2 linked regions of the Arabidopsis thaliana genome follow. The protein of the gene in region 1 interacts with the protein of each later gene in a pairwise test. Each region holds a gene or a part of one and is shown in the gene's direction. Other genes may lie near its edges. The genes, in order: MKK4 and MYBR1.

Region 1 (16,628 bases):
GAGAAGCGATATTCAAATTTAAGAAAGGAATATACGCATTGAATATTTTAAATTAATATGATTCAATTGCTGAAAAGGGAATTAAATTAATATAATTAACAAAAATTAATATAAACCAAAAATGTAATTAATCTTATTTTTAAATGTTTAAACATATTTTTCTATTTTAATTATCAAACATAAAAAATAATTTAGTTAAAATTATTTTTCCAGTTATTTAAATAAATTTAGAATATTTAACCCAATTTCGAATTCAAACATATTAATTCGATATTTATAATGTTATATCTATAAATAAAGCAGCTTTGATTAGAAAATATTTTTAAAAAAATAATTGGATTAGTAATATTTTAGAATATAATAAATATTGTTGATATATGAGTATAATTAGTTTTCCAATTTTAAACACACGTAATTATGAATAGTATTGAATAAGGGAATATATTAATTAGAAATAAATAAAAATTCTTTCTCCAAAATTTTTGCTGTAGGATTTATTGAAAAAAAATCAATGGTTACAATTAATTCAATCGAATGGCCAAGATTATAACGTATGACCCAATAATTGTAAACCCGGGTCATAAGGATCCGCGTACTTTTAAGTGAAAGCGAGAGATCGGGCGGTAAAAACAATTCAAACGAATGGCCAAGATTATAACGTAACTTAAGTGATTCTCAGTAAAAGGTAATCTTTTTCATGACATTAACATTTTAAACATATGATTTAAAAGTAAAAATAATTTTAACGGAAAATCACTTAACGTACGTCTCAAATAATAGAGTAGATTTGGCAACACTTTAGCAATTAGATTTCTTGGTCAAATTGCTGACATAATCATCATAGACATATTTTGATATCTTTCCGGGATTATCTCCGAAAAAGATGACATGAAACTGACTAAAGTAGTAAAGTATGAATCTGGTTTTATGTATTTGTTAGACTTACCAAGCATTAACCTTTCTCAAATTCGTTTTTTTTCGGGTGAAGAAATCAAAAGTTAGATTTTAGATCATGAGACATATAGTTTCGTAGTTTGTGGTAATATACTATCAGTCTATCATTCTAGTTAACAAAAATTATTTATATATATATATATATATATATATCCAAAGTCACATAATTCATGTTGTAGATAAAAATAAATATATTAGTATAACATTAAAGAAAATAAAATGAAAACTACAAAAATGGTTAAGAAAGTTATTATGTTAATTTATTTATTAAAAAAAAGAATTATAATCTTATTATTTTTGCTCTAAATAATACTTTTCATTAGTAAGATTTTGGAATTATCAATCTCTCTCTCTACAAGAAAATGTAACTAGTAGCATCAAAGTAGTATATGATGAGGCAAATTTTACCAAGCTATCATCAAATCTAAATCGAGCTTCAAGGTCTTTAAAACTAAGGAGATTAAATCGAACTCTTCTTGAACTCGTGTAATTTTTCAATAAATCTAACTCAAAGAGATCAAACTATATTCTCATTTGATGGGCACACAATTATATATCAATGAGTTTAAAACAAATCTTTTTCTTTCGAGCCCACTATATGAATAGATAATATGCCCAGGCCCATATAAAGCCCTTCTGCTTTTGATGCCAGAATCGAATGAATCATCATCATCGGTAACGTTTACAGATTTAATTTCCGGTCTAATTGGTACAATTCTTCCGTCGGACCCGTCGTTGACCGCCGTTGATTTTTAAGTCTCCCCTGCCGTAAGAACTCTATTTAACATTGACCTACGACGGCGTTCAACTTCTTCGTTCTTGCTTCTCAAGAAGGTTCGCTCTTCAAGTTTAAAGTCTCAATTTTTTTCTTGTAAAGTTGCAAAGTTGGAAACTTTAATTTTGGTTTGACCAATCTCGAAGTTACAAATTACTTGAGTACGTAGTTTCCTATAATCTTTTGGATTCAATTTCATTACAACAACCAATTTTATACAATTCACACCTCTCTATGTTAGGCTAAGCTTCACTAAGAAACGAGTGTCTAGTTTCGTGATCTTGTCTAAGTATTATCATATAGCTTCTAATGTCGAGCGAGAATTCTGAGTAATCTCCAAATCCATCACTTTGTTCACAAAGTGAGAATCTTTGTCTCTCTTCTCTGTTTCTTCTTTCTTCTGAAACATTGTCTTCAGCTTCATCTCTAAACCCTTTGGAGTATAATATAAATGCTTACTATCACTCGTAGGATCTTCTTCTACTAGAAGCTTTATGTAGCTTTGTAGGTAACTCTTGTATCTTGGCACAACTGTTTTCACCATTGCTTGACATATCTTCCATACCAACTTGTCATCCTCAACAACCCAATTTGATTGCTTTGTGTATATCTCATCAAATCCTTTACAAAACGCTTGTAATGTTCGCTTAATGGACTCACGGGCTCGTTTTCCTTTCACAGGAGATGATTCTGATGATGATGATGATGATGATGAAGTGGTTTGAGCTTTGTTTGTGAGTAGAGACAAGAGATGTCCCCAGCTTTCTTTGACATAAAGTGCAGCGTAATAGTCTCTGTACTGCTCGTGTGCGTTTAACCAAGACTCTCCCATCATTTCCCCGAGATAAGTCTCTCTCAAGCCGCAGAAATGGGAGTGATTGTTCATCATAAAGATGCAAGAAAGAGCGGTTTCTTTGTTGGAACTTGACCATGCGTCCAAGTTCAAAGCAATCTCTCTCAGTATGTTGTAGATGTGACCTGTGAGAAGCTCTTCTTGATACTTTGCGTTCTTCCATCCCAAATCAATTTCTAGGACCTTCGACAAGATTGGCTTGTTGTTGTTCCCCAGTAGCTTGTTGCAGTACTCAGTCACAACGCTTACAAGCTTTGGGACACCTCCATCAAGAGGTGGGCAATTTGGTCTCTGTAGCTCTACCTGACAAGGTAACTCCCAGAAGATCTCGGAGACACCCTTAACGAGATTGCTGATTAGCTCCCGTGTAACTCTGCGTATCTCTGAACATTGTTCCCCTCGAAATAGCCTGTTAAACTCTATCCGAAAGTTGTCCATTGTAGAGAAACAATCTAAGAGCTTGATCAGCTTTGGTGGCTCTCTCTTGCATTTGCTGATTCTTGATCCAAATCTGAGAAGCTGAAGGATCACTGAATTTGAAGCTATTTCTCCAAAGCAACGCAAGGGAACATCTTCTCCAATATCTTCAAATACGTCATAGCAGAGCTTACTCTCAAACTCGTATATCTCTTTCACAGCTATCTCCATATGCAATCTCCATTGATCTATATCGCCTTCAATATCATGTACATTATCAGCTTCTGTGATTGTTTTCTCCAGATAACTAATCTCAAACCGTTTCTGAATGACCTTGGTGCGGACTTTGATGTAAACTGGTACGCAGCTTGTTAACCGCGTGTGAGCATGTAATCTCTTGATGATAGCCTGCAACTTTCTCAAGTTGTCTTCTGAGAAAACCGGCTTCTCTTGGAGAATCCGCTTGAATTCTGTTTCAAGATTCTTCAGCGCTGTGTAAAGAATACCTCCTTTGAGATAAGCACGAGACTCGGTCATTTGCAATTCCCGGAGAAGCTCTATGGAAGTCTTGAACCGCAAACCGCAAGGATGATCTTCAGGCATTCCCTTTTCGGTTAGGTACTCGATCGTATCTTCTAGCCAGTTAAGAGCAAGAACACAGCTACTGGAGAGAAGCTTCATCGCTTCTCCAAGACGTTTAACATCCGAAACATAACCAAGGACTCCATCAGAGGACACGAGAGATCTCTCAAGCTCTTGAACCGTAGCAAAGACTCTCAGGACAGCGGATATTGGAGCAATGGTGTGACGGATATGATCAGAGAAAGGAGAAGCCTTCCATCTCTCAACTTTAAGATCAGCTTCTAAAGACGACAACTTATGGTTGATCTCTTCAATCTTGGATCCAGTCTTGTTAAGAACCAATGAAAAGGTTTCAGATTTCTCCATCTCACTCTTCAATAAACTTCTCATTGCTTTAAGCCTCTCAAGTCTCTTTGATTCAGCCATTGTTTTGCTGCTTACTCAGTGGAGGAGGATATGATTGTTGCTTCAACAACTATATATGGATTTGATAACAATCCTTTATCCTCGGAAGATAAACCAAATTTCTTACCAAACCCACCAAAATAAGTAATTACCAGTGTTCTTCTTCTAAAGACTTCTATAAACCAAAACAAGATCACATATAATCATTAACTTAAAGCAAAACCCAAAGTCTTGTTTTATTTGTTAGTCAGCTCAACCATCTTTATCTGAAACTAAACTGTTTCTCTCTTCTTTGTTTCTGACAAGTCAATGAGATTGGTGTCTTCTCTCTGTTGCACATTTAATATTAACTTTTGAAAAACTACAAAACGAAACAAAACAAAGAAAAGCAGACATTTACACGAAATTATGCAGACATATACACGAAATTCAATCTACCTGAAAATGAGAATAAGTTTTGAGTAAATTTCGTGGAGACTCCTGGAAATAAGTTTGTTTGTTTTCCTATTTTTATGTAACTTCGCTTAAATTTCTAATTGCCTAATCAAGGTATTAAAATAGCAAAGCTTGGTTTGGCTCAGTCTTCGCGTAAACTCCAAGAAACAATCATAAAAACAAATAAAAAAGACAAGAAACCAAAAAAAAAAAAAAAGTTGAGAGATTTCAGTAGATGAAAGTTGGATAGAAGATTCGTGTAGTTAGCTACTTAATGGGCCGTTAAAATATTTAATAAGGCCCATTGGGTCTAAACTGTGTTAGGATTACTAGGGCACAGAATCGGTCTCTGTCCCATTTCGCGAACTTTCTCCTTAGAATCGGAACGGACGAAGAAGGAAGACAAGGAAGAAGATCGGAGATGGCATCGAATGCGGCGGTTCCGTTCTGGAGAGCGGCGGGGATGACATATATATCGTATTCAAACATCTGTGCGAATATCGTGAGGAACTGTCTCAAGGAGCCACACAAAGCTGAAGCTCTTACTCGCGAGAAGGTTCACTTCTCTCTCTCCAAATGGGCTGATGGAAAGCCCCAGAAACCTGGTAAGCCTTTTCGATCCTTTAATCGTCGATGTTGGATCTTAGATCTGGATTCTTCACGTTCTTGTGTTCTCGATTCCTGATTTGTTTTTGAGTAATTTGTTGGAATAATCTGATTTCCTAAAAGTTATCGGAATTAAGTGGAAAGTGAATCATCTGCTTCTGGATTTGATCTTCGATTTTGCATTTAACCTTTCCTCTGCTTCTGGATTTGATCAGTTCAATACTATCTTCATACAATGTTGTTATGTCCAAATTGTTGAATTTTTCATTTAGAGTTAGCTTCAGAGAAAACAACAAAACTAGTAGTATGTGTGAAACAAGAACATGAAGAAGATGGAAAGCTGATTGGGAACATTGCATTTAGATGTCTTTTCTCGTTTATGTTTGGATCTGAATTCTTCATGTTCTTGTTGTGTGTCATTGAAATTGTTGGAATACGTAGATATCAGAGTAGGTCATTTTGGGAAAGCTATTGAATTTAAGAGGAAGATGAATCATTTTAACAAGCTCCATCGATTTTGCGCTTAATCTGTCTCTCTTCTGCTTCTGGATTTGATTAATTTCATTCTATTTTGTTTTCTCATAAGTTGTTGTTATGTTCAAATTGTTGAATTTGGAATGATTTCATTTCTCAAATAGGGTTTACTGAGACAATGATTCCAGATTTAGTCTATCTGAAAATGGTTCAGCTTTCTTCTTGTTGATCCATTTGTCTAACATTCTCTCATGTTTTTGTTTTTCCTTGACAGTTTTGCGGTCAGACACACCTGAAGTTTGAAGTCAACTTTGAGCTTATGTTCTTAAGGGATTCAAAAGTAACTGAGTTACCAAGATTTGTTTTCTTTTTATTGTCAACAATGGAGCTTGAGTGAAAAACTCATTTCCGATCATAATAATGACACACTGAGTCTTGTGTATCTCTTTTCTTCTTTTGCTATTCTGTTTCACTTTTTGTATGCGAACAATGAAAAAAAGCCTTTAAAGACTCTTCTGGCTAAAGACAAGTTCTTTTGATTGTTACAGAACAGTGAGAATAGCATAAAACTAAGCACATACGTGGAGAATCAATACACTGTCAGAAGTTGAGAGAAGACCATACTTAATATTAAACATGAGAATATACAAACTGATTTTCTGAATCATGTATTTTGAATCGCAGTACGCATATTTGCAGGTTAGACCATCTCCAATGTCACTTTTACGCGTTTGTTTGATTTAAATTCGATTTCCTCTTCTTGGTTTATATCACAAAACCAACAAAACGACACCGCGTAAAGTCTGAAAAAAACTTAACAGAGCCAGAAGTGCCCAGTGAACCAACCACACAAAGTCACAAATGGTTTCCGTGCTTGAAAGTGATCCTCACGCGCTTTACACATCGCGTAGATACCTTTTTCTCGATTTTAACAATTTTGCTATTTATTTCCTTTTAATTAATTTTCTCAAAATAAAAATTAACGTTCCCTTTTCAGTGTCCTTTCAATTTCTTTCGACGAAACTTCATTTCTCAATTTCTTTTGATTTTGATCGCTTCGAAGAACGAATCAATTTAAGCCTGCCACAAACAAACCCTAGAATACGACAACGCACGACGACGAAGAAGTCGAAGAAGACTACTACTATAAACGACGAAGATCATTACTTCAATCTTCAATCGAGCTTTTAAATTTTCAGATCGTAGAAGAAAATCGAACTTTTGATTCCAAAAGCGATGAGACCGATTCAATCGCCTCCAGGAGTTTCCGTTCCGGTGAAAAGCCGTCCCCGTCGCCGTCCTGATCTTACCTTACCGCTTCCTCAACGCGATGTTTCTCTCGCTGTACCTCTTCCTCTCCCACCTACTTCCGGTGGTTCCGGTGGCTCTAGTGGATCTGCGCCGTCTTCTGGTGGTTCGGCGTCTTCAACGAACACTAACAGCTCCATAGAAGCGAAGAACTATTCGGATTTAGTGAGAGGTAACCGTATCGGAAGCGGAGCAGGTGGAACGGTATACAAAGTGATTCACCGTCCGAGTTCTCGTCTATATGCACTTAAGGTGATATACGGTAACCACGAGGAGACTGTGAGACGTCAGATCTGTAGAGAGATCGAGATTTTACGAGATGTGAATCATCCAAACGTTGTGAAATGTCACGAGATGTTTGATCAGAACGGTGAGATCCAGGTTTTGCTTGAGTTTATGGATAAAGGTTCTTTAGAAGGTGCTCATGTGTGGAAAGAGCAACAATTAGCTGATCTATCTCGTCAGATTCTTAGTGGTTTAGCTTATCTCCATAGCCGTCACATAGTTCATCGTGATATCAAACCATCGAATCTTTTGATAAACTCTGCTAAAAACGTTAAGATTGCTGATTTTGGAGTTAGTAGGATCTTGGCTCAGACTATGGATCCGTGTAATTCATCTGTTGGAACCATTGCTTATATGAGTCCTGAGAGGATTAACACTGATTTGAATCAGGGAAAGTATGATGGTTATGCTGGAGATATTTGGAGCTTAGGTGTTAGCATTTTGGAGTTTTACTTGGGGAGGTTTCCTTTCCCTGTGAGTAGACAAGGTGATTGGGCTAGTCTTATGTGTGCCATTTGTATGTCTCAGCCTCCAGAAGCTCCAGCGACTGCGTCGCCGGAGTTTCGGCATTTTATCTCGTGTTGCTTGCAGAGAGAACCGGGGAAAAGGAGGAGTGCTATGCAGCTATTGCAGCATCCTTTCATATTAAGAGCAAGTCCGAGCCAGAACAGGTCTCCTCAGAATCTACATCAACTCTTGCCTCCTCCTCGTCCTCTGTCCTCGTCTTCTTCTCCAACCACATAGCGTTTTCTCTCTTCTTCCCTTCATCAACTCATATTTTTTGTGTTACTACTGTTCTTGAGTCTGTTGTCCAATTTTTTGCTAATCATGGAGGGTCTCTGAATTTTACATTTATTAGGGAGTAAAAAACTCGAGAGAGGGTTTTTGGGATTATTGTTTTCTAGAAAGGTAAAAGAGAACAATGATAATATTCTTATGCTTATGATGGTGCATGTATCCCCAATGTAGCTTTGTTGAATTTTCATAAAAGTTTTTGCCTTGGTTTTTCTTTTGTCATTTATGCTCGTCAATTTTGCATCTTGAAGACGAAAAGGACCGTTTCGTTTCCATTCTCGGTGTTTAGTTTTGTCATTGATAAAATGTCTCCTTGTAAAGCTTATTACCATCATGAAAAAGCAAAATATACGGATCGTAGAATCGTTTCTCAAACCTAATCAGGTTGATGTCCCAGTTTAGAACATCCTTGGAAGAGTTTAAGACAATTCCTCAATCCGAGAGAGCAAAACGACTGTGTTTAGCAAAGTGGGTCTAATTGAAGAAAAGAGGAACTTGGGCCAGCTAAAGATAAAGCCCAATGTTGAAAAGACGTCGTCTAAGGCACAACAACGGTCAAACGGTCATCTCCAAAGTTGGAAAACGACAAGAAACAAAAACACAGAGCAGTGGTGATGAATTGAAAGCTTGTACGGAGAAAGTAGCGATTCTCGCAGCCATTGATACGATTTGATGACAGAGGATGGTGACATCTGTCCTATCTCTAGGGTTTTTCGAGTCACCCATACTCTTGTCTATAAATACTAAATCCTTTAGGTTCCTTTGGTTGCTTCCTCTGCTTGTGAGTTTTTCTTTGTAAGTGCAATCAGTGTTACTCTTTAGAGTTTTTTTCTAAGTTGTTGAGATTTTTGTAGCTTGCTTTGGTTTGTCACAATTTTTGCTTATGCATTTGCCTTTGTAGGAGCTTTTAGTTACGTTTTAGGGTTTTTTTTTTTTGTTACGGATTTTGCTTGCTTGTGCATTTCCTTTTTCAGTGTGATTAGTGAGTAGTTACGTTTTAGCGTTTGATCCTTCTTTATTTTTGTCATTCTTTGGTAAAGAAGCATCACACTGGCTCGATTTAACCACAAACTCCTTCCTCTGTTTTTTGTCATTGATAAAAATGTCATCTTTTTACTATTTCAGTGTGATTAGTGAACAATGAGGAGCTTTTGGTTAGGTTGTTAGCGTTTAAACTTCATTTAGTTTGGTCACATTGCTTCGATTTAGCCACATACTCATCGATCTGTTTTTTTGTCATTGATAAAAATGTTTCTTTTTGCTATAACTTCGATCCTATTAGGAAGCAAAGGTCCCTCTTGCTTTTCCTTTCTTTCGTGAAAAATCGCTTCACTTTAATTCCCTTGTTAATGTTCTTTGCATTTATTATTCACATCCATTAATGTAGTTTTATTGAAAACTTTGCAAATTTTCAGATGGCACTCCCTCCCTATGATCCGAATTTCACATTGGCTTTTTCATACGGTAGACGCGATAATGTCTTTGAGAATGACCCAGAGCACGGTAAGAACTTGTTACTGTATAGAATTTACTCATAAAAGTATCTCACTTCTTGGTTTTAAAACAGATTTTGATCTAATCCCTAGGAATGGTGAATTGTGGCTGTAGAATTAGGATGTTGTGTTGATTCATTGCTTTAGTTTTAGCCTGGATTTAGTGCAGGACAAAATTTACCCATTATGTTGAGTTATCACAGTTCTGGTCATGTGCTTAATTACACCAATGTCTTAAGTTTTGTTGTTGTTGGCTCTGATAACTTGTTTGCCAAGATAGGTTTTAGATTCTCTCAGATATTGATAGCATGTGTGTTGTCTTTGTACGTTTTTTCATGATTTCAGAGATTCTCTTTTATGTTAACAGTGAGATTTAAGTCATTTGACCAATCAATCAGCCAAATTTTGTGGCTGTAGAATTAGGATGTTGTGTTGAATCCACTGCTTTTGTCACATTGCTTTAGTTATAGCCTGGATTATGTTAGTATATCACAGTTGATTCTGATCCTATTCGTATCTTGTAAGATGGGAATACATTCAGATTTGATTTATTGTTCCATTTTGTGTTTTGTCTATGCAGATGAATCTGCTTCTGCTGCTATCGTAGCGGTTGAGCTGATAAGCTCTGCACGGCTTGCACTTAAGCTGGATAGTGTCCGCACTGAGTACTCAGCTCAGTATTTGGTGGACAAAGCTGGCTCACGCAACCTCAGGCGCAGGCGCAAGCTCACTGTCAAGGACTGCCTTAACTTTGCGTTAAAGAAAGGCGGCATACCGAGAGCAGAAGATTGGCCACCTTTGGGATCTGAGTCAAAGACCCCATCATCGTACGAACCTGCTCTCGTTTCCATGAAAGGAGAAGTGATTGAGCCTAAGGATATGGACGAAGTACCTGAGTTGTTGGTGCATCAATCAGCCGTGGGAGCAAAACTGCATGTGTTCACTCCACACATTGAACTTCAACAAGACGTAAGTGCTATAGCTGTTAGTTAAAATTCAATATAAAATGATCCAGAGAGATATACATCTGATCTAAAATATATGTTCATTTGTTTTGCGTGCTAGGCAATTTACTTGCCTCGTCAGGTGAGTATGCGCGCTACGTTGGACTTAGAGATGGGATAGTAGTTGGAACAGAGAAGATCCAAGGAAAGTCCATGGCAATAGTGAAGGTATGGTACAAGAAGAAGTTTGTAGTTGTCAAAGTGGCTTTGAGCAGGATGTTTTATTTGGCGGGCGTAGGGCCATCTGTGCTGCTTGTGGACTTTTGTGTTCCACGCCTATCCATCGATTAAGCAAGAAATATCTATCTATCTAGAGAACAACATGCTACTAGTGGAAGACTTTGTTTAAGAATGCATGTTTTCAGGAGACTTTTTTTATGTGATAAGTTGAGAAGTTGAGATCTCTACTTTCTAAAGACATATTTGTTTGGGATGATCGATTATTGTTATGCTTATTGAATCTTTGGGTTACTGTTCGCTTATGATGGTGCTTGTATCAAACTTTTCAGTTTCAATCTTCAGTTGCATAATCCGAGTAAATTTATTATTATATGAAAAAGGTGTGCTGTTTTCTCCAGCACAAGTTACATGATAGGAAACCAAAAAAGAAACCACCTTCATCACAAAGGCTCATTACATGAATCAAGCAAGAACAGCAACAACAACAACAACAACAACAACAAAAGACAATGGTTCGTATGAGTTTGTTTCCTTGGTTGGGTCAAACAGTTGTATGTATATACACATTGAAATCATCTTTTGCTTTTTGGTTGAAATCATCCATCACAATCCATTTGCTAGTTTTGCCCTCAGATCTTTCCTCAATATCTTCCCTGATGGAGCTTTAGGAATGGATTCAGTGAAGAACACTTTGTTGATTCTCTTGTAAAACACAACCTGTGATTTCAGATATATACAAAGTTTGCATCAATAATGATTCATTTCTCATGCATTAATCAAAATCAAGAACTTGCTTTGTAATTCACTTTTTACCTGTTTCGACACGAATTGCTTCACATCATCTTCTGATAACTCCGAATCCTTCGATTTCACCACAAATGCAACAGGAACTTCACCAGCTGCTTCTTCTTTCATTCTGTTTAATCATACACGTAACAACAAAAAGTGTAAGCAGTTTGAAACAGAGATGCTAGAGAAATCAAGATCGGCTCTGTTATTGATATCATTGATCTCCTTTTGTCATTATGCTTAAATTATGTTTTAATCATTCATGTTGGTTCAACAACATACTTTAATAATAGATTAGTACTCAGAACATAGATTAGCCTAAATATATTGTTGAACCAACAACATTATTTGGTCATGATCAAACAATGTCCGTTTTGTAGTTGTTGGTTCAACAACATATTTTGGCGCAATTCAATTAGCGACTGCAAAACGAACAACGGTTAAAAATTTGAACTTACGCGACAACAGCAACATCAGTAATGTCAGGATGACCGATGAGCAAAGCCTCTAGCTCAGCCGGAGCTACCTGAAAACCTTTATACTTGATAAGTTCTTTCAATCGATCAACGATGAAAAGCTCGTCATCGTCATCGATCAATCCAATATCTCCAGTATGAAGCCAACCGTCTTTATCAATGGTCTCTGCTGTAGCTGCCGGATTGTTGAGGTAACCTTTCATGATCTGGTGACCACGAATACAAATCTCACCGGGTTGATTCCTCGAAAGAGAATCTCCGGTGTCTGGATCAACTATTTTCATCTCAGCATTTCTTACAACAGTACCACAAGCTCCTGACTTAACCGGAAAAGGTTCCTTTGCAAAACCTAACGACATTGCTAGCACTGGACCTGCTTCCGTCATTCCGTATCCCTAATCATTTAATAAATTAAAGTTAGTTACGTAAAATTTAAAACTGAAGTGGCAAATTTCTTAAAAACGTTTTTGGTCAAATTTTGTATAACATTTATATTTTTTTTTACTATAAGAAATAAATAAAAATATGTCATCTGAGTAGCCAAAAATGTGATTATGCAGAAAATATAAAAAAATCGCACACAGTTGAATAATTTGGTTTTACTTTATTTGATCAAAATACAAACTGTATATAGGTATTTACTTATGTTATGTTTTTCAGTTAATTATGAGATTTCATTCCGTATAGTTATTTCGATTTTCCAAATTCGTATGATTCCGTATTTCCCAAAAAAAATATACCTGACCGAGTTTGGCATTAGGAAACTTGGCATTAACGGCATCTTCAAGTTCTTTACCAAGAGGAGCAGCACCAGATTTCACCACTCTTATCGAGCTCAAATCATACTTCTCCGTCTCCGAAGACTTCGCAATGGCCAACACAATCGGCGGAACCATCGGAGCCACCGTCACTTTACACCTCTGGATCAGCTCCAATAGCAGATTGATCTCAAACTTCGGCATTATCAGAATCGCCGCACCAACTCTAAGACCACACAACATGATCGAGTTCAAAGCGTAGATATGAAACATGGGCAAAACACAGAGTATGACGTCATCGCTGTGGAAATAAAGATTCGGGTTCTCGCCGTCGACTTGCTGAGCAACGCTCGTGACTAGTCCCTTGTGAGTCAGCATCACTCCTTTTGGTAATCCCGTCGTGCCAGAGGAGTAAGGTAGTGCCACCACGTCGTCCGGTGAAATCTCCACCGAGTCGATGACTTCTGATGCCTCGGTTGTCGACTGAGTCAACTCGGTGAAGCGGAGGCAGCCTTCAGGGATTGGCACGGATTCGTTGTCGTCGATGCAGACGATGACTACTCCGTCGTCGTTTTGAAGTGGTTTGATTTTGTCGACGTAACGAGCTTCGGTGATTATGAGTTTGGTGTTGGAGGCTTTGGCTTGTTTAGCTATCTCCGCCGGAGTGAAGAAAGGGTTTGCGGCGGTGGCGGTTGCGCCGCGGAAGGAGGCGGCGAGGAAAGAGAGGACGAATTCGGGACAGTTTGGGAGGAGGAGCATGACGACGTCGTTTTGGTTAACGCCGAGTTTGTGAAAATTGGCGGCGATTTGGCGGGAGATGACGTGGACGTCGGAGTAAGTGTACACGTGGCCGGTTGGTCCGTTGATTAGGCAAGGCTTAGTGGCGAATTCGGAGATGTTTTGGAAGATGTAGTCGTGGAGAGATAGGTGGTTCGGGATGTAAATATCCGGTAACTTTGATCGGAAAATGACGTCACTGTTGTTGTTGTTGCTCTGTTTCTCCATCACCTGAGAAACTGCTTGTTCTTGTGGCGCCATTGTAAATAGTAAATATTGTGATATTCAAAGATTTAGGTGGAAAAAAAAGGTTGGTTTTTTTGGTTGTGTGAATTTTAGGCTTTGGCCTGAAGGAAACAGGAGTTGTATCGGAGGAGTTCATATAGACAATTCACCGGAGTAGACGGTGGGGTTGGTGAAAATGTTAGTGTTGTTGTTTCATGATTTTGCTGAGGGTGATTTTGTCATTTAATCTTTTTTGAGTATGGGTTTCTCAAATTTTCACGTTGCGTTTGGTAAGCTGCATTTCTTTCTTTTAAAATCACATAAACTAGTGGTAATATATTTATAAGCAAATTTGTATTTTTCTGAAAAATTAACTGGATTTTGTATTTTTCATAAGCAAATTTCTTTGTTGAAATGTTATATTTTATTTATTTTTATGTTAATTATAGTAAATAAAAAAAGAATGGTTATTTAAGAATATTTGCAAAAAAAAAAAATGTAACAATTAATGTAAAAAAAAATGTTTTGATAACGTATTACCGTAATTGAATATGTTTCTTCACATGATTTAATTAAATAAAGTAATGATTTGTATGTTTTTCCAATTTTTACCATATAAGCGATAAAATCAACCTTGGCATATGTTCTTTTCCATTTTGGGCATATATATTCTAAGAAAAAAAAGAAGTAAAAACAGTTTGTATGATACTTTTAATAGATAAGCCAAAAAAATCATGTAAAATGACATAGCCAAAAGTTATATTATAAATATATGCTATATTTGGGTATATATGAGTGTATCATACTCTAACAATTTCTTCATTTGTTGTTGATTTGGTCTATTTTGGTTCCATAAAAGACATATATATTACCAACGACCACGGAACCCGTATATGAACAATTGAACGTCAACGGTATATGAACAATTGAACAATTGAACCCGTATAATTTTATTTTATTTCTACAACCATTTAATTCAACTTTGGAGACCAGTCAAATCCATTTGGATAAAAAGAAAGTTATGGGCTAAAAGTGTAAAGCTTGAGAAATAAAGGGGTAGGGTTGGAAATAAAGGAAATGGGTTTGGTAAGAGAAGAAGAGTGGGTTGGTGAAGATAGCGAGAGATATATTGATTGGGCTTTGGTGGAAGAGTGGGCCCATGTTGACGATATAACCGAAGCAATAGTCCAAGTAAAAATTGAAATATTTGACGATAAATCTTCATTTCTTCACCAACCCCACCATTTTTAATATTCTTTTATATAAAAATCGTAATAATCATGACCATAATACATATATCTCCAAAATCAATGGACAATATAGCCTTCACCAAACTCATCCTTCAACTGATATGTTTTTTTTTAAAACCGGAGGTATTAGAGACCGAAAATTTTGAAATTAATAAGAATTTGGGTCTTTTTTAAGACTAAAAAAATATTTACAAATGACCAAAATGCAAGATGCAAGAATTTTTTGTTTTCTGAGAAAAATCTATATAAAACGTAAAATCTCATCAAAAATTCTACATTTCAAACGGGCTACTAAGTACTAACCCATCACAACTTGGTTTGATTTGTTCGTAAATGGGTTCTTGTATTGAGATTTATTTACTATTAGGCTTAGAAAAAGATTCACCACACAAATGCTATGGATATTGGCATTGCATTTACAACCAATTGTGTCAGCAAAAGAAAAGAGACAATTAATGGATAATAATCATATATAGCTATTTATTTTTGTGAAAGCGATGTCAAAATATAAGTGAATACAAAACTGCTTCGTCAATATGCCAAATGTAAGGCTTTGACAAAAAAATATATATGCCAAATGTAATGGACAGTGATACTATTACTTTTCGACATGAATCATTTATTACATAATAATGCTTGAAAGTGATTGAGAATGTATTAATTCAAATGCTACGAACTGATCAACATTTGTATGCAAAAACATATTAGTACATATTTTCTTATCAAATAATAGTTTTAAACATGAAGAATAGACTATATTCCATAGACCAAACATCTGAATATTCTTAAAACAAGGATAAAACGATAATATGTACCATGAAACCAGTCTTAGGAATTATTTACATAGTAATTAGTAAAAGACTATTTATGCAAAGTCATGTTTTATACATTTCTCAAAAAGAGAATGGATTAAAGTAATTATGGCAAGTATCGAGACCCATGCTTAGTTGGGTTTGGTAATAAGATACGCTTCACGCTTGTGTGTGATGTCTTTTCCAATTGATAAAAGTTTAGGCATTTTACTTGAGAGTATAAATTATCATTTTGTTATATTTCAAACAAATTATATGAATGTTGTGTAAGATTTCTTTCATTTTCGGAAATGTTTCTTACAAAACATGCAAAAGAAAGGTTTGGAGAATGTCTCTCTCTAGTCTCTTACCCGTGTCTCCTAATAAGCCTAACCTTTACCAAACATGAAGACTCAAAAACTCATGCTGTTGTTGGTGAATGGCAAAACCGTCAATTCAATGGTCCACACCAACACACATGGTGAAGAAGTCCAAGTCATCAAATGTTGATTGATTCTACAGCTCTGCAAAAAGATTTACTTTTCAGTTTCCATCATATAACTTCTCAACTCCTCTCATAATCCAAATCTTATGTGCTATTGTTTAGTGTCATTATCTGTGTAACCACCTTACTTCGTCTTCTTAACCAGAAAAATGAATCAAAATATTGAAGAAATAAAGTTTATTTTGCTGATTGTTTGCTTGTTAGTACCTTCAGCTGCAACACTTCTAGGAGTCAGCAAAAGAATTTTTCAAGAGACAGGTAACACTTTTCAATCTTGATAAATTCAAATCTCATTTTCTTGCAACTAAACTCGAACACATTGCGAAAACCTTGTTTCACCTTTTATGAACGTAAAAAATGTTATCTACTCATAAAAAAAACAAAGTCAGCAACAATCTTCATAAATATGCAACGGTTATCAGTCACCTAATCGTATACGAAATCATCAACAGAGGCCACTTGACCTAGCGAGCCACCACTGAAAAAGGCCA
Region 2 (12,442 bases), on another chromosome or scaffold:
AATCCCGAGGATTGCTAAACCGGCTAAGTCACCGACAACAATGCCAATGATAAGCACCGGTTTATGATCCCATTTTGATTTCGGACCGGTTTTGGAGCTAATTGGGTGATTGGTTAAGCCAATAGTATTTGGTATAGCAGCTAATGCAGGAGGAGAATTTGGAGTCGGCGATGGAGGTGGAGAGGTTGCTTCACCGTCACGACAAGGGTGTTTTGCATGGTCGGATCCGCAGAGACCCGGGTTACCGGAGAAAGAGTTGGATTCTTGGTTATCGAGAACCCGAAAACCCGGGATTTGACCTGTAAGTTGGTTGAATGAGAGATCAACGGTGGCGTCTTCCGGGATTTCGTCGGCGAAACCTGACGGAATCTCGCCGGAGATTCTGTTGTACGAAGCGTTGAAATAGCGTAGACGATTCCCTCTGAAATGTGACGGCAACGAGCCTTTGATCAAATTTGACGAGAGATCAAGATACTCCGTCGACTTAAAACCTCCCGGAATCCCGCCGGATAAATAGTTTTTCTGAAGTGAAATCTCCGTTAAGTTCCGGTTCCATCCTAATGTGTTCGGTAATTCGCCGACGAAGGAATTATCGGAGAGATTCAACACTTGGAGGTTCGAAAGCGCGCCAAAACTCGCCGGTAGTGCACCGGAGATGTGATTATCGGACAGATCAAGAAATCGAAGCTCCGTCGCGTTGAGAAGCGAAACCGGGAAAGACCCATTGATGGAATTGTTGGAAAGATCAAGTCTTTGAAGTGAATTGAGTGAACCCAAATTTGAAGGTAGTGTGCCGGTAAGGTTCGAGCTTGGAAGTGACAGAACAGTCACGTGCCGGGAAGATGCATCGCACGTGACACCACGCCAAGAGCAAGGAGTCTCGTCGTCGAATCTCCAGCTCCGAAAAACGTAAAGAGGATCGTCAACGATTGAGTAACGGAAAGAGAGAAGAAGAACACCGTCTGTGGTCAGAGCAAGAGAGGTTTTGTCGCAGAGGAAGAAAAGAAAAACGGTAATCAGGAAAAGATAACGGTGGAGATCGGCGGCGACTGTCGTCATCATGCTTCAAGCCTACGCATCGATAGAGAACTAAAAGATTGATTTTTTGAAAAGGCCATGTGATTGTGAACGATATATGAAAGTGTTTATCTTTTTATGGAATTCTTGATTTGAGTAATTCTTTATAAATATAACTTTTGTAAATAAAAAATTCTATATCCTATGTAAATTGCACGGAATGTGATAACAAAAGTTAACACTGTTTTCCTATTCGTAAATTATGCTGACGTCGCTTTGTCGTTTTTCACGTTTATATTCAACGTGGACCCTAATATTGGTTCATCATTGTTTACATTGATCTTCAAAGAAACGTAACAAAACCATATAAATCTGGATAGTTTTGTTTACATTTAAATCTTTGCTAGATCACAGAAACTATATAATATACTAATTCTGTTACTCCTTTTGATTATGACGGAAATTGTGACGTGAGATTACGCATATCGATCATGTGATGTGTGTGAAGAATTGTATTATTAGCCAATTAACTAATATCTATGGAAACATGATCAGATGGGAGAATAGTATCTTTGCTATAAGACATTCACAAAAAGTTCGAAATTTTTGCAGGTCTCTCACTGACTTGGATTTACTTATATATGACCGTTTTATTATTGTTTTCTCATTACACCTAATGTTTCTCTGATCATAGTACATCTTATAGATATAGGCTTATTAAACTAATCTATAAGATAAAAATAAAACTAATCTAGTGATTCGTTATAATATTGACTTTATGCGCAAAACACATAAATAAAAACAAGTGTTTCATATAAAATATTACTAGATATCCTTAGCAAAAAATAAATTAACATTACTAGATATACCTACTTTTTCAGAAATAATATTCGTTTCATGATCTAATCTCTGTTTTAAATGCAGTTATAATTTTGCATATACCAAAAATAAAATCAGAAGATTCTTTTTAATGAAGTGCAAGTAGACATTTAATGTCTTAGTTATATAAGAAGAATTCGATTTGATTCATATTTATGGAATCCTTATATATGTAGTTTAACATGTACTACGTAGTAATAATCCCAATGGATCACGACTCACAACTCACGACTCACGACTCACGAGAGTTAGACTGATAAAAAAAGGAAATATCAAAAACACTAAACAGTTATGTGTTGCATCAAAAATATATAAATGTAGTACTGTATCTACCAAGAGGTCAACATCACACGTAAATAAATGCATGTCAAGATTAATGTACACCGGGTCAAATTGATTAAAATTGGTCCCCGTTTTAATTAAATTTCGCGAGCGTCATTGTGGTCCTTGTTATTTGATTGCCAAAATCACAAAATTGTTTATGTATAAAATACTGTATATATGTTTTACCGGTTGGTATTTGTTTGTTTTTGTTTGTTACCACCATATGTCACGGTTTCTCAAACGATTAAGTAATCATGAGATGAACATGGTTTATTTATCGTTTAAGAATTTTTCTGCAAACCAGTGCAATCACTGGACCGAAAAAAAATCCAATTATTTCTTCTGCTGTGTGTGAAACAATAAAACATATGAGTGTCGTGTAGTCCAAGTTTCAGCATTAATTACAGTATTAATCGTTGTGTGTGAACAATACCCACTACAGTGATATTATAGACTCATAGTTGAGTTTGACTGTAAATTGTCAGAGCAAATTTACTTATAGTCGACATTCATGTTACAAATTGGACAAGGTAAGTTTCGAGATTCAGGTTCACAAGCTATTTACCATTTCTGTATGTTTTATCTTCCTAAACGTAACCACTATGTGATTAGTCTGTAAACTCCAATACGAATATATACAAAGCTGTAGTAATACATTATTAATTAGAGGATGGCTACTAGTTTGGCGGTGGACAAAGACGGGAGATGCATGAAAAATGGCGTTTTCTACTTACCATTATGCAAAACTCCAAAGTTATTATCGTCTTGCAAAGTTATAAACCAATCCTGAGTTCGACAATTTTTCAAACAGTGATAATATAATAATACAACACTGCGCATTGTCACTTGATCGGTCGGGTGTTTTTGGATATATTATATGATATCTGTTATGACTTTATACATTCTTTCTTTTCCTCCACAAATATATGATGATTTTATTCGAGAAAATAACGGTCAAGAAAATTGTTATAGTTCCTAGAGTATTTGATTATGCCAATAATATTTAGATTGTTTGATTCTTTGAAGTGAACATGTCGAAGCCATTTCTGGTAGTAAGCTACTATCTAGTGGCTTTTAACAACGACATATGATTAGAATGATTAAGTGAAATGGGTCATATGATTATTTAATTACTTAATGAGCTTTTCAAAAGACAAAAGCTTAAAATGGCATTTTCTTTGTTAATGACGTGACAGAAATAAAGAGATATTTATTCTTCTTCTTCTTCTTTAACTGATCATATTTATTCTATGTTTATAAATAACTAATCGAACAATTTAAAAGGGGTAGAAACTAGAAAAAGAGTACACTAAAAAAAATAAAAATGATAACTATAGAAGAAGTAACTAGAATATATTCATCGTAGTTATTACATTCTGGCGAGTAATAAATTTTGTAACATTTATTATTTAGCTATTCAAAGAGGTGTAATGGTCTTGAAGATATATTTTAAAATCCCTTAAAGTAATGTGTTTTTTCCTTTTTATGGAACCTTTTAGAAAGATACATAAAGGAATTGGGCACAAAATTAAAAGCTCGAAAAGCTTCAAGTATGTAAAAAAAAAAGCTAGGGAATAAAATTTAGCAAATCACGTGTAAGAGAATTTGAGAGTTACTAAAAATAAGATAAGATACTTTTATGATGATAATAATACTAAAATCTTAAAGATATTATTCTCATTGGATTGGTTTTGTGCGTCCCTTAATGGGTAAGCAAAAAGTACTGTAAAACCCATTTGGCATCGCAAATCAATAAGCTTTTATGGGTCAGTCAGTCCATTGGTTGGGCATAAAGATTATGTGTTTTCTTTTTGCAAATTTGTAATATATCATGTCCACAAATAGATCTAGAAAGCTTAATATAACTGGTGAGAAATACATTTTAATATAGCAAAGCAGCGAAATACATACCATTCGTTAACCATTTCGTGTGTTTCGTCATTAGCATTTTGAGTTAGAGTTTGCCTTTAGATCTAACCAGTACTACTAAAATGCTCAACGATTACAAAATACAATCACGTATCACATTATCACATTTTAAGATTCCTCGTTCACAATTCTGTTTGCTTAGACTTCAAAGAACAGAGTAGCTTTTATGTGATATCTCAACGAACACTCTATATTACTATACTCTTCATCTTCGTTTGCTAAACCGGGAAGGACTAAACCGGCTAAGATCAACACTTGTGGCTACACCGTCTACAATAAGCTCAGCCAAAGCAGCACCAGTGGCTGGACCATTAAGAATCCCCCAACAACTATGCCCTGTGCCTACATAACATCCCTTGATTCCTGGAATCTCTCCGATCACAGGAACTCCATCTTCTGTGCTGGGCAAGAAACAAGCTTGCTCTGCTTTCACTAGAGCGTTTTCTTCGTTTAGATAGCTCGAGACTGTTTTCGCAACTCTCTTGAGAACCTGGATCGATTCAGGATTGCTTGTGACCTGATCAGCATCATCAGGTACCTCTTCTTGTGATGACATTCCACATATGTACACTTCACCTGTCCAAAAAAAACAAACAACAAACCAAAGCAACCACTTCTCATTTTTTCCATTACTTGTATCAGAAAACGAGATTAAGTCAAAGTAAAATCACATGAAAGAACCGAAATTTTACCTGTGGGACGAGGGTATACTTCAGGGTCCAAAGCTTCACCACCATGAGCAGGACGATAAGTTAAGAACAGGGCATGAGGTGTTATAGCATTTGGTTCCTTCGGTTCCAAGACAATGCTATGAGCTTTAGTACAATAAACCCTAAAAATCGAAGACAACAGCTCAAATTTACTCGACCATGGACCCATCGCCAGAACCACCACGTCAGTGTCTATAACTCTCCCACCTTCAAGCACTACAGAGTTAACTCTACCTGATTCCACTCTCACCTCTTCTAATTTCCCGATCACAACCTCAACACCGTACTTCTCTCTCGCCGTCGATAAAAGCTTCCGAGTAAAAAGTTGAGGATGCACTTGTGCTGTTGTTTGAGTTGTACCAATCGTTGATGTGCTTTTAGCTGGGCCGTTGACCCAATCCGGTAATCCCAAACCGCCGGAACCGGGTTTTGATTCCGTCACGGTGACGCTAAGAGTCGTGAGTGCTCTGTATCCGTACGATTCGACACCGTTTAGCTCCTCAGCGAGCGATCGATGGAGTTTAAAGCTCGCGCGTGCTAAATGCGCAACAGGACTTCCATCGCACCAATCGAAAGCGAGAAATCCACCGGCTTTACCGGAAGCAGCGCACGCGACGGCTGATTTCTCGACGAGAGTGACGGCGATTCCTTTCTTGGCGAGGAAATAAGCAGTACAGACGCCGATTACTCCACCGCCGCATACAAAGACCCGCTTCGAGGTTTCTTCACCGATTTGTTTTTTAGCCGCCATTGATTTCGATGAGTTGGAGCAGATCGTGATTGTTCGTCGGGTTAACACCGGAGGGAATAATAACGATGAGATCACCGCCATCACCGAGATGAGATAGATGATGACTCACCGAGTCCACACGTTAGTTAGAAATTATTTATTGGGCTTAGTTTCTTTTTGGGCTGATCTTTTGAAGCCCATTTATTGTATAATCTCTACGCTATTGTGTGTTACTGTGTTTCCTATGATATTTAGTAGCTGATAAGTGATAACTGATATTCTCTGTATGAATTTCAATGAATAGTTTTCTGATTCTAGATGTTTTAAGAAGTTGAAAAGGACTTGTTGAAATAAATTATGGGGGAAAAGGACAAATGACCAACTAACAATCAGATAGGCCATTCCAAAATTGGGCTCCACCACTTTGACGACAAAAGCCCATTTATAGGGCGGCTCTACTTCGGCCTTTCATCAACCACACATACACTCCTAATGATTATTATTCAATATATTTTTAGTAGGTACTGTGATGTTGTTAACTTTCAGTTAGATAGACCCGCCGAAACTTTTTCTTATAATATTACATATAATTTCGCTCTGTTTATAATCATTTTATTCCTCTACTTAAACAGAAGCTTCTTTCATTCTTTGTGTTCATTGAACTTGTTTACTATACGGAAAGTTTCTGCAATTCTATAAAAATATATATAAAATAATGAACTGTTTATAGAATTGTACTTACTTTTTTGGTTTTAGTGAAGCAAATTTCTATTTAATCACACATTTACTGCACTCTAAAAAGGTGAAAACCTAAAATGTAATCGTTCACACATTATCTTCATGTTCAAATCCGATGGAATATTTATCGATCCAAGAGTTTCAATTAATAATTTGCAACATAATCTTCTTATGCCTTTCTTATTTAGCAAGTGTGATGGTCGATCCATTGATCATTGTTCATGAAAGTTGATGATGTGGTCGATATTTTCTCCACATGAGAAGTATTGTTTTGAAAAGAATATTTATCATATACTACTATTATTGACAGAAAAAACAGTGTAGAGAGTATTGTTAATATTAATTAAGTCAAAAAAAGCCGGCGGCCAATGTGGGGAAAAAGCTTCACACACTTTCATGTAGTAATCTGTCCTTTTGTTTCTAGCTTTATATTGCCCTCGCTTTTGCCCGTTCATGACTCTTATGATGCTTGGTCGTAAAACGTGATTCCATGCATTATCTTATAGAGTTATAGTATATAGATATTATCAAAATGATCAAGTTTTTAATATCCCAATTCTACATTTGAAATTTTTTAACATTTGATTTACAAAGTTGACGATAAATTTCAGATTTGAAGACGAAATAAAGCAAATCTTTAAATAAGTTTTTTTGGAAATATCATATGATATCAGAATTCTAAAAAATCCAACAAATCGGTAAGTTCTAACATATAAGATGAAATAGTACTTGGTAGGTACAAAAATTAAACGTTTTGATTCCACACATACAAAAAGAAGAAGAAAAGAGTAACTTTTTATTTGTCGTCCAACAAAGAATCGCTTTTCAATCAAGCTTTAGTGAAGGTGTTAGGTGTGTGTGGCTTAAGCATATACATCAGAAGACCAACAAAATTTATCTTAAGCACGAAGGTCACCGAACGTAGTCGTTTCAACGATGACCGTACCATTAATGCAGATTTGTAGTGCGTGTGGATATATACATGCACACGTGTGGAAGGTGAAGGTACAAAATGTGCATACGGCTTAAGGATAAGCGAGAACACGGAAGGATATTTTGTAGCAGCATCTTTCTATTCTATGCAACTAAGTAAACGAACCACATGCACCTGTTTTCTTTAATTTATTGCCTTTGTGATTTTTTTTGTTGACACCATTATGTTTTTTTTTTGTTTGTAAACCATATAATTAAGTAGTTTCCCTAAACCGTTAACAATTAATACATTCTATAATGTCGAATAAAAAGAAAAGGTAATGCAAGTGGAAGAATATCTAAACACGTTAGTAGACCAATAGCAAAATTACAGTTGCTAGCTTACACGACAGGAGGAACAAGACAAGAGTAGTTTTGCCTTTGTTAAGAATAATTAGCATGACACGTCACTCAAACTTACACGTGGAAGGATAATTCATGGACACGTGGACATACTGGAAAACAGCTGTTAAATCTTTGTCCGGTTATCGTAAGTTTTTGAATTTTAAAACTGTATTTAGCCGAATTAGGTCATGTTCCACGTGCCTTTTTTTCTGCACCACTATCTCTTTTCCACAAGAGGGGCAATGATTTTTTGGTCCAAAAATATACAGTTGTAATCTTGGACGGTGTGTCTTAAATAAAATAATATATGGACGGTGTTTTCTTTAATGTTTTCTATGTTCATATGAACTTCTCGGTGGTCGTTTCAATCACAAAATTTATCATACCAGAAAACAAAATATTTTCAATAATTGAGGCTGTACGTTGTGTATTTTAGGTTTTTTCTTTAGATTGTTGCATGTTATATTTTCAGTTTACTATATGTTGTGATGATTATTCGTTACAAATGTTTTCAAAATGTCATACTATAGTAGTCATTTATAATAGATATGAAAAATGATCACAGTTGATTTGTTTTTTTGGTGGACTACGAATAAAATCGTTTTGGTAATTGTCTAATCTTCGAGTGAGTAAGACACCGTCAATCAACCATCAATATCATCAATCAAAACCATTATTGATCTATTTTTTGGTTTAAGGAAAAGTTGGTAATTGTAAAACGACTTCAATAAAATATTTAAAACAAGGAGACCAAAACCGACACTCGGACCATTGATAATAGAAACAACGAGCAAGGTTATAGTAGTATAGTTGAGTCTCACAAACGAACACGTAAACCCAATATAATAACTACGCAAGGTTACATCTAGAGCTTATTGTTCCCATCACAATAACCTCTTGGCATTATTAATTATCAAATTCACTCAAAGTATTAAACTCCTGATGTCTAATAGATTATCAACAAATCGACAAAAATGTAGATATATAACTCAAAAGGTATAAATTCAAATGTTTGGTGGGGTTACGTAAAAACTTGAATTATTAAGAACTAACAATACTATAGTTTAATTAAAAGGAGAATTATGAACCGTTAGAGGGAAGGTTAGGGAGCGTGCATGAACATTACCTGACGTTTACCGACCTGATTCGTACCGTACATACCAGAACAAAGAGCTTTTAAAAACCCGCGTTTTACGACCGACACGTGGCAGTTCTTAAATGGATGACAGTTAGTGTTTTATTAATTGTTTTTGTTTGATTAACAAGTTTTATACAGCCTGGCTGTTTCTATTCGTATTTTCGATATAATAATTAAATATATTTCAGGAAACAAAGGCAGTGATGATTTTGCGTTCCAATTCGGCAACCTATGTTGTCGTTTTCTGCCACGTCAAAACCTCCTATCTTTTGTTAACCGCACATTTTACATCACGTTTCCTAAACCGAACATTAATATCTAACCATTTTTATACATTCACTTAATATCGCTCACACGGTTCTTTGTCAATCCCATTTTAATCCAGCTTCGTTTCAAATTATTGAGGTTTAGATCTTTTTATGATCATAGAGCAACTATATATAGATTTAGTATTGTCAATTTGTCATGCACTGTTATATGCATGAATTAGGTGTTTGTGTGTTGTTTAGTAATTAATTATACCTTCTTAGTGACAATTTGTTTTCTTTATTAGTAATGAAATTTGTGGTCAATAATTTTGATTAGTTTTCAACCCGGAAAATCGGTTATATGTAAAGTAGATATTATCATAAAGTTTTTATGTGAAGTGCTATACAGCCTGGCTTCGCTATTCTAAAGTCAAGACTAAACATAAAAATAAATAAAAACTGTCCTTACCCAAACCTAACCGTTATCATCTTTTTATTTTTTTCTTCAGATATTTCTTTTTCATTTTTATTTCCCCTATAAAAAAATTTAAATTCACCTCAAATTGTGCGAATATTATCATGGCTTTGCTAGTTGGGTTTCGTGATTTTGTCTCTTTAACTTCTTACTTTCGCCACGCGCTTAAATGGCGCGTGTACTCACAAACTCATACTTTGAGACTCGACTGATCTCCACGCTCAACTATACGAAATTGCTGATCTTGAACAAAATTATTACGAAAACGACAAAAAAGACACATCGACGTAGTCAGGCTTCGACGCGTGTCCACTTACAGCTGTACCGCAAACTTTGAAAAACCGCTTGCGTGGAAGAAGCGTTGCCCATGACTTCTCCACCGTCTTAACCGGTTTCCGGTTATCCTCCTCTCTTAAATCTCTGTATAAATAATTTTGTCCTCTCTTTAGTTTCTCGAACTTGTTTTTGGTTCATCTCTCAAAACCAAAATCACTAAAGAGGAGAAGATTGCTAAAGTTTGATAAAACATTCCAAAATCAATGGCTGATAGGATCAAAGGTCCATGGAGTCCTGAAGAAGACGAGCAGCTTCGTAGGCTTGTTGTTAAATACGGTCCAAGAAACTGGACAGTGATTAGCAAATCTATTCCCGGTAGATCGGGGAAATCGTGTCGTTTACGGTGGTGCAACCAGCTTTCGCCGCAAGTTGAGCATCGGCCGTTTTCGGCTGAGGAAGACGAGACGATCGCACGTGCTCACGCTCAGTTCGGTAATAAATGGGCGACGATTGCTCGTCTTCTCAACGGTCGTACGGACAACGCCGTGAAGAATCACTGGAACTCGACGCTCAAGAGGAAATGCGGCGGTTACGACCATCGGGGTTACGATGGTTCGGAGGATCATCGGCCGGTTAAGAGATCGGTGAGTGCGGGATCTCCACCTGTTGTTACTGGGCTTTACATGAGCCCAGGAAGCCCAACTGGATCTGATGTCAGTGATTCAAGTACTATCCCGATATTACCTTCCGTTGAGCTTTTCAAGCCTGTGCCTAGACCTGGTGCTGTTGTGCTACCGCTTCCTATCGAAACGTCGTCTTCTTCCGATGATCCACCGACTTCGTTAAGCTTGTCACTTCCTGGTGCCGACGTAAGCGAGGAGTCAAACCGTAGCCACGAGTCAACGAATATCAACAACACCACTTCGAGCCGCCACAACCACAACAATACGGTGTCGTTTATGCCGTTTAGTGGTGGGTTTAGAGGTGCGATTGAGGAAATGGGGAAGTCTTTTCCCGGTAACGGAGGCGAGTTTATGGCGGTGGTGCAAGAGATGATTAAGGCGGAAGTGAGGAGTTACATGACGGAGATGCAACGGAACAATGGTGGCGGATTCGTCGGAGGATTCATTGATAATGGCATGATTCCGATGAGTCAAATTGGAGTTGGGAGAATCGAGTAGACAAAGTGAGATTATTAGGAAACTGTTTAAATTGGAGAAGAAGAAAAATGCTCTGTTTTTTTCTCCTTTGGATTAGGCTTAAGAATTTTGGGTTTTAAGGAAATGTATAGAGGAAATCGAGTGAACAAAGCTCGAGAGCTGGGGACGTAGTGACGAAGACGAAGATCAAATTTCTCTTAAGCTATTCAGGAAAATAAAATAAATTTTTATTTATAACTACGCTTAATGATGATAATAGATCAAATTAATACACAAAGTATCACAAAGTGAAAGATAAATGATCCAGTTAAAGAACAAGTTTGTCGAGGATTGGTAAAGACTTGCATTTGGCAACTAAAGGCACAGATTTGGGCATGGTAAGACCCTTTCCTTCCGACATGTCAACGGCAACGTCATTGTCTCTCTCCCAATCGAAACACTGGATCAATGAGCCTAAAGCTAAGCTCAGTACTAGTTGGGCCAGGCCCATACCAGGACATGCTCTCCTACCGATTCCGAAAGGCAGAAACTTACCACGATGGGTCTCTGATTCAAACCTCTCTGGTTTGAAAGTTTCTGGGTCATCCCATACATTTGGGTCTCTCTGAATAGCCCACGCATTGATAAATAGCCAGGTGCGACGTGGAATGTCAAATCCAGCGACTTCACAGTCAGTGGATGAAGCGTGTGGGACAAGTAAGGGCGCCGCCGGAAACAAACGAAGAGTCTCAGAGATCACATTGTTGAGATAGGGACACTTGCCAGTATCTGATTCCTCAAACACACGCCCTTCTTTCGAAACCTCGTTTAGTTCCGTTTTGAGTTTCCTTAAAACTTCCGGATGATTTAGAAGGTTAGCCATAGCCCACTCCAACGTCACTGCGGTTGTGTCCGTTCCAGCAAGCAACATCACCTGCAATGAATCCTTTGAATCTTTGATGAATCAATCTTGATCACTCCTATTAACGATTCAAAATTATAGGAATTAAAAACTCATGTACCTGTACGAGCCCTTTGATGATATCATCAGTGTAACATTCAGGTTCTGATTCTTGAAGAGACAGCAAACGAGTGATCATCGTTTTCTCAAGCTCTGCTTTTCCTCTGTTTTTCCGATGCTCGTCGACTAATTTCTGCATAAACTTGTCCAATTTCGAAGCGAGTTTCTTTGCTCTCTTTCTGTATCCATCAAGATCAAAGAGCTTCAGAGTCGGGAGAAAATCTCCGACATAATTAACACCAGCGAAATCGAACACCTCCCTAATCAGCTTCCGAACTTCCTTAGTTTCCTCGTCTTCCTCTCGTTTTCCAGCGACCATGCTCATTAGGATGTTATACGTAAGCCCATAAAGAAACGGCTGGAGTTTCAATCTGACACTGCCTCCTGATGTTACCAGTTCCACGTTGATCTTCCGAATCATAGCTCTCACTTCGTCTCTCCGTATATCCGAAAAGTCTCTGAGACGAGCGGTGGACAAGATATCTACGGCGCAGAAACGGC

What was found.
Region 2: the proteins of MKK4 (region 1) and MYBR1 interact in a two-hybrid assay, tested with the Arabidopsis thaliana proteins (one study listed by BioGRID).

The regions. Positions count from the first base shown.
Region 1 is NC_003070.9:19,147,838-19,164,465, forward strand, and holds MKK4 (mitogen-activated protein kinase kinase 4), read left to right. Parts: upstream 1-6,485; 5' UTR 6,486-6,737; coding exon 6,738-7,838; 3' UTR 7,839-8,501; downstream 8,502-16,628. Other genes in the region: EXO70G2 (exocyst subunit exo70 family protein G2), read right to left, coding at 2,025-4,007; AT1G51650 (ATP synthase epsilon chain), read left to right, coding at 4,843-5,026, 5,776-5,804; AT1G51670 (uncharacterized protein), read left to right, coding at 9,305-9,392, 9,963-10,351, 10,448-10,507; 4CL1 (4-coumarate:CoA ligase 1), read right to left, coding at 11,170-11,283, 11,380-11,482, 11,814-12,226, 12,572-13,627; B ALPHA (protein phosphatase 2A 55 kDa regulatory subunit B alpha isoform), read left to right, coding at 16,287-16,395.
Region 2 is NC_003076.8:26,844,065-26,856,506, forward strand, and holds MYBR1 (myb domain protein r1), read left to right. Parts: upstream 1-9,957; 5' UTR 9,958-10,044; coding exon 10,045-10,962; 3' UTR 10,963-11,248; coding exon of another isoform or gene 11,249-11,854; 3' UTR 11,855-11,942; downstream 11,943-12,442. Other genes in the region: RLK (receptor-like kinase), read right to left, coding at 1-1,062; AT5G67290 (FAD-dependent oxidoreductase family protein), read right to left, coding at 4,355-4,725, 4,842-5,691; CYP81G1 (cytochrome P450, family 81, subfamily G, polypeptide 1), read right to left, coding at 11,249-11,854, 11,943-12,442. UniProt on the Arabidopsis thaliana protein: Transcription factor. Represses the expression of protein phosphatases 2C in response to abscisic acid (ABA). Confers resistance to abiotic stresses dependent of ABA. In response to auxin, activates the transcription of the auxin-responsive gene IAA19.